Callithrix jacchus: one gene and its partners. The protein of the gene in region 2 interacts with the protein of the main gene of each other region in a pairwise test. Links are inferred from orthologs where the notes say so. Each region holds a gene or a part of one and is shown on either strand. Other genes may lie near its edges. The genes, in order: SF1, KPNA1 and ANP32B.

What was found.
Region 1: the proteins of KPNA1 (region 2) and SF1 interact in binary tests that used the Homo sapiens proteins (3 or more experiments, as listed by UniProt). The link is inferred for Callithrix jacchus from reciprocal best matches to the Homo sapiens genes KPNA1 and SF1.
Region 3: the proteins of KPNA1 (region 2) and ANP32B interact in binary tests that used the Homo sapiens proteins (3 or more experiments, as listed by UniProt). The link is inferred for Callithrix jacchus from reciprocal best matches to the Homo sapiens genes KPNA1 and ANP32B.

The regions. Positions count from the first base shown.
Region 1 is NC_133511.1:121,835,113-121,838,559, reverse strand, and holds the end of SF1 (splicing factor 1), read left to right. Parts: intron 1-288; coding exon 289-469; intron 470-732; coding exon 733-1,006; coding exon of another isoform or gene 1,007-1,010; intron 1,011-1,323; coding exon 1,324-1,383; intron 1,384-1,495; coding exon 1,496-1,675; intron 1,676-2,424; coding exon 2,425-2,762; 3' UTR 2,763-2,802; downstream 2,803-3,447. UniProt on the Homo sapiens protein: Necessary for the ATP-dependent first step of spliceosome assembly. Binds to the intron branch point sequence (BPS) 5'-UACUAAC-3' of the pre-mRNA. May act as transcription repressor.
Region 2 is NC_133516.1:80,575,584-80,579,234, forward strand, and holds part of KPNA1 (importin subunit alpha-5), read left to right. Parts: intron 1-1,183; coding exon 1,184-1,315; intron 1,316-2,424; coding exon 2,425-2,513; intron 2,514-2,882; coding exon 2,883-2,982; intron 2,983-3,651. UniProt on the Homo sapiens protein: Functions in nuclear protein import as an adapter protein for nuclear receptor KPNB1. Binds specifically and directly to substrates containing either a simple or bipartite NLS motif.
Region 3 is NC_133502.1:146,121,303-146,124,953, reverse strand, and holds part of ANP32B (acidic leucine-rich nuclear phosphoprotein 32 family member B), read right to left. Parts: intron 1,685-3,651; coding exon 1,535-1,684; intron 1-1,534. UniProt on the Homo sapiens protein: Multifunctional protein that is involved in the regulation of many processes including cell proliferation, apoptosis, cell cycle progression or transcription.

The DNA of each region.
Region 1 (3,447 bases), on a different chromosome or scaffold from region 2:
GGGAATGAAGTTTGATGGAATTGAGTTGAGAGAACCTGTGCTTCAGTGATGCTTAGGGTCGTCTGTGCTCTTCGCCCAGGGCCTCTGCTCTGGCGATCTCAGATGCAGAACTGGGCACGACACTGAAGATTGTTGAGAGACTGTTGAGAGCCATGTTCAGTAAGGGGTTAGAAAGATGTAATGATCTGATGATTGAATCCTTCAACACTTTCTGTATGTTGGTTTCTCAGGGTAAAAGCTTCCGTAATGAGTTTTTCCACTTTCTCTCTGTCTCCCACCCCACCTCAGGCCTGGTGATCCCCAGTCAGCTCAGGATAAAGCACGGATGGATAAAGAATATTTGTCCCTCATGGCTGAACTGGGTGAAGCGCCCGTCCCAGCATCTGTGGGCTCCACCTCTGGGCCTGCCACCACACCCCTGGCCAGTGCACCTCGTCCTGCTGCTCCCGCCAACAACCCACCTCCGCCGGTGAGCCTGGGGGCAGGTTCTCTTGGTCTGGCTTCCCCATTCTCTTCTGCAGAGACTGGGAGCTATGGCCATGTGCTTTGGGTAGAGCAGATCGATGGATATGGATGGCAACATTGTTCTTCTGGGATCTCAAGCCAATTGGGGACTTTTCTCACTTTGGGAAGACCTCGTTCTTGTGTTCTAGTCCTGTGGCATGAACGGAAGAACAATGTTGCCACCAGGGGGCGCAGGCAGGGACGTTGGCTGGAAATGCTCTCACGTAGTCTCTCATGTCCACCACTCAGAGTCGCCCACCCTGGATGAATTCTGGCCCTTCAGAGAGTCGGCCTTACCATGGCATGCACGGAGGTGGTCCTGGTGGGCCCGGAGGCGGCCCCCACAGCTTCCCACACCCGTTACCCAGCCTGACAGGTGGGCATGGTGGACATCCCATGCAGCACAACCCCAATGGACCCCCACCCCCTTGGATGCAGCCACCACCACCTCCGATGAACCAGGGCCCCCACCCACCTGGGCACCATGGCCCTCCTCCAATGGGTAAGTAAGTGTCAGACCAGAAACCTTGGGGCTTTGGGATAAGCAGGGGGTTGCGTCAGGTCACTGAGCTAGAAGCAGCTCTCAAGTGGCTCGGCAGTGTGCCGGGTCTGCCTGACTTGCCAGGGTTATGGCTCTGGAAGGAGCGAGACTTCATTCTGGTACAGGGAGTGATTCTGTGTCAGCTAGGCACAGACACTGCCTTTTACAGGCATGGTTTTCAGAACTCCTGTAAGGATAGCAACTCAAGTTATCACAGGGGTGGCTTCCCTGGCCAATTCCAATGTCCTGCTAAGTCCCTGCTCTTTCCTTCCATCAAGATCAGTACCTGGGAAGTACGCCTGTGGGCTCTGGGGTCTATCGCCTGCATCAAGGAAAAGGTAATGGCTGTCTGCTGGCTGTGGGTCTTCACCTAGGTTTGGGCACGTGGGGACTGTGGCCCAAATCCCCCCCTTTCCCTAAAGCCTCATCTTTGCCTACACCTACCTGCAGGTATGATGCCGCCACCGCCTATGGGCATGATGCCGCCGCCGCCTCCGCCTCCCAGTGGGCAGCCCCCGCCCCCTCCCTCTGGTCCTCTTCCCCCATGGCAACAGCAGCAGCAGCAGCCTCCGCCACCCCCTCCGCCCAGCAGCAGTATGGCTTCCAGTACCCCCTTGCCATGGCAGCAAAGTGAGTAGAATATTTTGGGCTTGTGGGCGTGGGTGGGATGGGGGTGGGCCTGAGAGGAACCGTAGAGCCTCACACCTCACACAAGCAGGCAGGTGCCTTGGGATGAGCCCCTGAGCTCTGCTGGGGTTGTAAACAGAAAGGGCCTCCTGGTCCGGGGGGTAGAGGGGCATCTTGGAGAGGAGAGCTGATGTTTGGTGTGGTTGTGTCTGGGGAGAGGTTCGTGGGGACCTGGAGGGGAGCCTGCTGTTGTAGGTAGGGGGACAGAAGTCCCGTCCTCACGGGCTGAGTGAGCGGCTGGCTGGACCGAGCCTGGTGCATATGGCCCGAGTGGGATGGTGCATGCTTGCTCTGGCGAGGGCTGTGATTGGGGTGAGAGACTGCAGAGGTGGGACCGGGCAGTGGGGAGAGAGCAGCTGTGGCCTTGAGGTTGAATGTGCCGTTCGGTGGTGGCGGCGGCTGGGCGGAGGGACGTCAGAGCTGTTTTTGTGTCTGGTACCTTCCCCTCAGCCCTTCTAGGGGCATTGGTGACAAAGGGCTTACTCTGTTAAGCCCAGAGACCTCGAGGCTGACCCCAGGGTAGTCCTGCCCACCCCTCCACTCCCATCACCAGCCCCGCCCGCCCGCCCCCCACCACCGTACCGCATGCCAAGCAAGGAGCAGGCGCCCCTCGCCCCCATCCCAAGGCAGCAGCCGCAGACAGCCGCGGTGTGCCCCCGCGCGTGTGACCTTGGGCTTCTTTACCACCCCAGATACGACGACTACCACCACGAGCGCTGGCACAGGGTCCATCCCGCCATGGCAACAGCAGCAGGCGGCTGCCGCAGCTTCTCCAGGAGCCCCTCAGATGCAAGGCAACCCCACTATGGTGCCCCTGCCCCCCGGGGTCCAGCCGCCTCTGCCGCCTGGGGCCCCTCCCCCTCCGCCGCCTCCACCGCCTGGTTCCACCGGCATGATGTATGCCCCGCCCCCTCCTCCTCCGCCTCCCATGGACCCTTCTAACTTTGTCACCATGATGGGCATGGGGGTGGCGGGCATGCCGCCCTTCGGGATGCCTCCAGCTCCCCCACCGCCTCCACCACAGAACTAGACTTGTTTTTTAAGAAAATATATATTATATATAGAGAGAATTGGTCTCGTTTAAACACGCCGAACCTCACCATATGGAGCCAGACATTGGGACGCACGCATGTGATTGTGTGTGCACGCATGTGTGTGTGTGCACGCACGGGGCTGGGCCAAGCGACTGAGGATTCGCTTGGGAATGGGCAGTGGTAGTAGGGGCGCCAGCTTGGGCTCTTCTGGCGCCCCGTAGCATCGAGTGTCTTCTTTGTCTTCTTTCTCTCCTCACCCAACTCCCTTTGCCTCTCCCCAAACCGGGCCGCCAGGATCCCTCCCCGCGGCGGCGATGGCCCGAGCCATGAGAGTGAGGACTTTCCGCGCCCATTGGTGACCCTTCCAGGCAGACAGCCTCAGCAACGCCCCTGGTGGACAGGATGGTTCGGCAAAGCAGCCTGAGTTATTTTTGTGGACGGAATCGGAACACGCTGGCTCCATATCGTGAAATTTTTATTAATTTTTTTCTTTTTCCTTTGTTACTTCCTTATCTCTTCCTTTCTTCAGACTCCGTCCAAGGAGATGCTCTCCCCGGTCTTCTGCTACAATTAGATTCTTTTCCCTTCTCTCCAGTTCTTCCCTTACCAAGGAGAGGGGAGCAAATGGTTTTGGGCATGGGCTTCGGCCATTCATGCCAAGCTGGTTGTGGGGTTCTTTGG
Region 2 (3,651 bases):
TTTTTGTTGGTCATAATTTTCTTTATGTCTTCTGTTTACCAGTGCTGTAATGCTGCATATCAACCTTTGGTCAATTTACCTTCGTTTTTTTCAATCCCTGTTAAGAATGCTCTTTTAAAAAGTCCTATCTCTGTACTTTGGTTTGGATTTCTCTCATTTATGGGAAGCTCTTATGCTTTGAAGTTGTCATTTCTTTTCATTATATGCTTAACTCCTTTGACCTGCTTAACATTTGATACCTTTTGCTTTTCTCACTGTGCCTGTACATTATGTTTTACACTAACATTTTCTCCCCATTTTACTTTGCCCATTCTACAGAAGTTTTAAAGTTTTTTTTATTAGATAGCATGCATGGTACAGGCCAAAAGGCACATAAGGCTTTCCACTGATAAGTGTTTTTTTCATCCTTGTTCCCTAGTTATCATGACCTTTCCCTGCAGCCAACAAGTATTTAGTTTCCTATAACTCCTTCTAGAGATAATCTGTGCAATTAGTAAGTTAATGCATGTATTCCTTGTAATACTTTTAGAAAATGTGGGGCCGGGTGCGGTGGCTCACACCTGTAATCCCAGCACTTTGGGAGGCCGAGGCGGGTGGATCACGAGGTCAAGAGATTGAGACCATCCTGGTCAACATGGTGAAACCCCGTCTCTACTAAAAATACAAAAAATTAGCTGGGCATGGTGGTGTGTGCCTGTAATCCCAGCTATTCGGGAGGCTGAGGCAGGAGAATTGCCTGAACCCAGGTGGCAGAGGTTGCGGTGAGCTGAGATCGTACCATTGCACTCCAGCCTGGGTATCAAGAGCAAAACTCCGTCTCAAAAAAAAAAAAAAAAAGAAAGAAAATATGGTATAATGTCATATTAATGTACACTGTTTGCATTTTGTTTTCGTTTATATCTTTGCAGATCATTCCATATCAACATTTGTAACACTGTCTCATTCTTTTTATGGTGTCATGTCCACTCTATCTTGAACTGAAATTTCAGACACCCTGAATATTCTTCTAGGTTGAGGTGTTTCTTCTGGAAATTCTTTTAAAATTAATATAGTACTCAACTGATAGGTTATGTGTAAATAATGATCTCAGAATCTTTTTTTACATGTTCAGAAAGAGTTACTGTTATAAGTAAAAAAGCTTTACATTCTCAAAAGATAATGAAAATTATTTTTATCTTTGTAGTTTGAATCAGCTTGGGTACTGACAAATATTGCTTCAGGAAATTCTCTACAGACCCGGATTGTGATTCAGGCAGGAGCTGTGCCCATCTTCATAGAGTTGCTCAGCTCAGAGTTTGAAGATGTCCAGGAACAGGTAAAAATGAAACAGAAAGAAGCAGGTGAAAGAATAACATTTTTCCCTTCAATCATATTCAGGGATTGAGTTTTACCAGTTGGCTTTGATAATCTATGGATTGTCACAAAGGAGTGTTCTAGAAATCTAGTCTTAACCAAATAGAAAATTTCTTAGTGAGTGTAGGCAGAATTTTTCTTAGACACATAAAATAATCTTCCCCTTCCAAACCTGACATTCTTTAAGCCCTGAGTATGTACTTTCTAAACCTTGTAAGCAGTTACTAGTAGAGGTTTTTGCTTGTAGAAATTTCCAGTGTTGAAAGTAGGCCAGGCACTGTGGCTCACACCTGTAATTCCACCACTTGGGAGGCTGAGGTGGGCAGATTGCTTGAGCCCAGGAACTCAACCACTCAGGGCAAAATGATGAAACCTCATTTCCACCGAAAAAAAAAATTAGGTGGGCATGGTGTTGCACACCTGTGGTCCTAGTTACTTGGGAGACTGAGGTGGGAGGTTCACTTGAATGAGCTCCAGGAGGCAGAGAGGCTGCAGTGAGCTGAGATCACAGCACCACACTCCAGCCTCGGTAACAGAAGGAGACCTAGCTCAAAAGAAAGTAGTAAGTTTTTATCACTTTTGTGCAGAAAATAGTTTGTTTCACTGTTTTATTTTGTAAGCCAGAAAAATACCTTTTTTTTTTAATGGAGTCTCTGTCACCCAGGCTGGAGTGCAGTGGCACGATCTTGGCTCACTGCAACCTCTGTCTCTCAGGTTTAAGCAATTCTTGTGCCTCAGCCTCTTCAGTAGCTGGGATTACAGGCATCTGCCACCACACCCGGCTAATTTTGTATTTTTAGTAAAGATGGGGTTTCACCGTGTTTTACTCGATACTGGGTGACAGAGCGAGACTCCGTCACCAAAAAAAAAAAAAAAAGAAAAGAAATTGGTTCTTTCCTTTAATAAACTGAATACCTTTAGTTTATTATACACTTTAGAATATTATTTATCTTCTTCCTCCAACCACACAACTGTTTCATTTGACTCCCTGATGAATGTGTTACTGTGATATACTGGCATCTGAAAGAATTAGAAGGGAGTACATAACTTTTATTAATGATTCTTTCACAGGCAGTCTGGGCTCTTGGCAACATTGCTGGAGATAGTACCATGTGCAGGGACTATGTCTTAGACTGCAATATCCTTCCCCCTCTTTTGCAGTAAGTTTCTTCTTCTTCCTTTTTGACAATAAAAACATAAGAGATTCCTCAGAAAGCAGTGCATCTCTGGAAATCATTTTGGATTTTCTGTTGTTATTTTTCATTCCAGACATTTTCTTGTTTAGATCATTTCCTCAGAAAAAAGGAAAAAACGAGGGGAAAAAAAGATCATTCCCTTAAGCACTCTATCTTTCTCTCATGTCAAAATTCTGAATTACTTGTATCAGAATTAATGAAGTTTTAATGTTCTGGGGAAAAGCTATCTGAAGACATCTCTTTATCAAAAGTACTATTACTTAGTATTTATATTATGTTTTCAGAGAATCAATGTCTATTATATAGTTTACCATTGTACCATCATGCTTATAGGTTATTTTCAAAGCAAAACCGCCTGACCATGACCCGGAATGCAGTATGGGCTTTGTCTAACCTCTGTAGAGGGAAAAGTCCACCTCCAGAATTTGCAAAGGTAAGGACTGTGCTTTTGGGACATTGGCAGAAAAAATGCAATTATAAGAGTATAGCAACCAATAGTAAGGTGAACAGAAAGATAATTTTTGTTAAAACTTAAAATGTTAGAATTTTATCTGTTTTTGGAGAAACAGGGTTTTTGTTTTTTTTTTTGGTTCCCTTTATTATTTGAAAAGCAAATTTAAAGCATAGCTTGAAGATGCACATTTATGTAGGGGCTGCAAATAAATAAAAGCATAGCATAAAGGGAGAATTTGTAAAGCTCATTGAAATGAGACTTCATACAATTAGTATACTGTATTAAGAGACTCTTCAGTTCTCCTAAAACAGTGGTTCTCAAAGTATAGTCTGGGAGTCCATGAGATTTTTTTTTTTTTTTTTTTTTTGCAGTAGGTTTTAGGGGAACAGATCAGGTGTTTGGGTACATGAGTAAGTTGTTTAGTGGTGATTTTTGAGATTTTGGTGCACCCATCACCCAAGCAGTGTACAGAGTACCCACTGTCTAGTCTTGTATTTCTCACCTACCTCTCATCCTTTACCCCAGAATCCCCAAAGTTTATTGTATCAATCTCATGCTTTTGTGCCCTCATAGCTTACATCCCACTTATGAATGAGAACATCTGATGTTTGGTTTTCCATTCCTGAGTTACTTTACTTAGAATAATGG
Region 3 (3,651 bases), on a different chromosome or scaffold from region 2:
CACTCAACCTGCCTTTAAGTATGATTCCCTCTCATTAGCCCTGTAAAAGAAGTGATTAATGTTTAAATGTTAAAAGTTTTAAATTCAGGCTGGGCACGGTGGCTCACGCCAGTAATCCCAGCACTTTGGGAGGCTGAGGCGGGTGGATCACGAGGTCAAGAGATCGAGACCATCCTGGTCAACATGGTGAAACTACGTCTCTACTAAAAATACAAAAAATTAGCTGGGCATGGTGGCGCGTGCCTATAATCCCAGCTACTTAGGAGGCGGAGGTCGCAGTGAGCCGAGATCGCGCCATTGCACTCCAGCCTGGGTAACAAGAGTGAAACTCTGTCTCCAAAAAAAAAAAAAAAAAAACTTCTAGTTTTTAATTCACGTACTATACTTTTTAAAAAAAAAAATCGAGACAGAGTCTTGCTCTGCTGCTGGAATGCAGTAGCACGATTTCGGCTCTCTGCAACCTCAGCTGCCTGGGTTCAAGTGATTCTTGTGTCTCAGCCTCCTGAGTAGCTGGGACTACAGCCACGTGCCACCATGCCCAGCTAATTTTTTTATATTTTTAGTAGAGACGGGGTTTTGCCATGTTGGCCAGAAGGGTCTTGAACTCCTGATCTCAGGTGATCTACCTGTCTCAGCCTCCCAAAGTGCTGGGATTACAGGCGTGAGCCATGGCGCCGACCTCATGTATCATACTTAACCCATCCCACTTCCTGCAAAACAACAAAACCTTCATTACAAAAAAAAAACTAACTGTCCCTCTCAGAACACAAGCAAGCTCTGGGAACAGCCTACCTTTACCTAAGTTTGATTTTATTTCCTTCTATGTGTGACTTCGTCAAAAAAAGGTACAACTTAAGTTTCCTAGTACAGTGAATATTGAAATGGCAGAGAATTCTGCAATACTTATATAAGCACACATTTTTTCCTATATAATGGAAAAGGTATGAGGTTAGGAGAGATATGGGTTCTAGTTTTGGCTCTAGTACTAACCGTTTCTGTGGGTGGCTTTAGGCAAATTACTATACTTTTCTGGGACTATTGCTGTGTCTGTAACATAAGGAGCTGGGTTAGAAGAGCAAAGTTTTTTCCAATTCTGATGTCCTGGGACTCTGTGACAGTTAAATGTGCAATGACAAAAGAAAACATTTTTCTGTAGCATTTGGTCCTTTTTTTCGAAAGGATAAAGAACTGGTTTTATAACAATTAACAAATAAATTACTCACAAAACACAGTAATTATTCTTCCTAACTATTTACTGAGCACCCGACATGCATTATTTCCAAACATCACAGCAATTCTGCAAGGTCAGGTAATGCCACCAGTTTACAGGTGAGGAATTTGGGCCTTAGAGAAATTAAGTAACCTGAAGAAGATCACCCATCAAGGAAATGATAGAGCTGGAATTCCATCCCATATCTGCCCAGTTCCAAAGGTCAAGTGCTTTCTGCTATACTAAGTGCTTCCTTACAGGTAAAATCATACATTTTCCCTTCCCAGGTTTGTTCTCTTTTACTGTTAAAGGAAAAGCACCTACCTTTTTCAATTTAGGCAGCTTGGGAAGATTTGAAACTGAAATCAAGCCTACATTTATTAAACTGAGGAACTCTAAGTTCACAAATTCAGCTGTTAAGCCCTCAATTTTTCCATCATTTGATTTGCAATTGTCCAAGACAAGTTCTCGAACCTGTGGATGACAAAAAAGAATAAGCTCTCAGAAAAATTTCTGAAAACAAAGAATGCAAAAACTTCCACCATAAATACCCTGCAAAAACACCCATATAATATGGGCAGCCTCTTAGACTTAGAGCATAGTTATAAAAAGATAAAAAATAATTAAGCCTTCAGTAGCAATATGCTAACAGATTCAAAGATGGAATATTACTAGCATAAAACACTCATGTTCCAGAAACGGACACTATACTTTAGATGTAAGTGAAGTAAGTGTATTCCCCTTATTTCTTTTCCCCAGTCTGTTCCCCAAAGGGCAGCTTTCATTTAAATGCAAATACAGAGTGAAAACACTCTTTAGGCTAATCTACCTTAAGTCCCAGAAGATGACCACAGAAAAGAGGAAAGCTTTATTTTTCCTACCAAGACCACTAAGAGATTCTGGCTAGAGATTTCTGTACCAACACACTTTCCAGCTCTGGTTTTATTAATCTTTGCCAAGATTATCTTGACACCGGGAAGAAATCAGGATGCAAGAGTCCTTAATTCAAAACAAAAATCGATCTGGTTTGCACATGAGAAAGATGTTTCTAGAGAATTGTTAGATAATAAGTTTTCATTTTCAGGCTACATCTGGCCAGGTACAGTGGCACACGCCTGTAATCCCAGCACTTTGGGAAACCAAGGCGGGCGGATCACCTGAGGTCAGGGGTTCAAGACCAGCATGGCCAACATGGTAAAACCCCCTCTCTACAGAAATACAAAAATTAGCCGGGTATTATGGCGAGTGCCTGTAATCTCACTACTTGGGAGGCTACAACGGGAAAATTGCTTGAAACCGGGAGGCGCAGTTAGCTGAGACTGCACCATGACGCTCCAGCCTGGGCAACAGAGTAGAACTCCATCTCAAAAAAAAAAAAAAAGCATCACATCTGATGATTTGAATTTTTGAATACTGATTATTTAAGAGTCTACATGCAGATCTACCACAATAATTCATATTGCCATTCTTGATCACCCTGAAACTTGCAACTTTTTTAGCCCACTTTGATCTACTCACAGTGATGCAAATTACCATTTTAACTGCACCAACAAAGGCGGAATGCCTTTGTAAAGAATTTTAGTGAACCTACCATATTTAATGGCATTAATCAAGCATGTATATGGGAGATGCTAATACTCTGAAAAGAGAACAGGAGCTATTAACAATGTCCTCATCCTCTCATACAAAATCCAATGATGTTACTCTAATAATTGCTTTCAATTATGAAGTAAACATTTATTCTTTCTACCACCACTCTCCTTCCCCCATTTATAGAGAAAGAAACAGATTTCAAGTCAGCAATACCCATAACATAGTAAGTGCCTAACCACTTCTCACTACCCTGTCTACTTCCTCTTCAGAAGCCAGGCATACATTTTACTCTTTACATCCACATACTTCCTCCCTCCCTTCCTTCCTTCTTTCCATTTTTCTTTAGATATCTCTGCCATTCTTCCCTTTTAAGAAATGAGCACATCTGAAAAAATAGGTCAACTCTGACAAAAGCTGGGCTCTGGAAACAAGATGTCTGGGGTCGAATCCTGGTTCTCCTCTGCCACGCAGAACTTGTACAACTTTGTGTAAGTCACTTCACTTCTCTGTGCCTCAGTTTCCCATGAAGTGGACATAACAGTACCTACCTCATGAAGTTGTAGGAACTAGGGCTTGGAACACTATAAATGGCCAGAAAGTAAACTCTGGGTAAAGGGAATGGGAAATGTCAGAGACCTTTGCTGTATTTTTATATTTGTATTAAATTTTTTACAAGCATGTATTTATTGTTTTTTTTTTTTAAATTCTGTATTAAAAAGAAACTAGGCTGGGTGCGGTGGCTCATGCCTGTAGTTGGGAGTTCAATACCAGCCTGATGATCATGGAGTAACCCCATCTTTACTAAAAATGCAAAATTAGCTGGAGGTGGTAGTGCATGCCTGTAATCC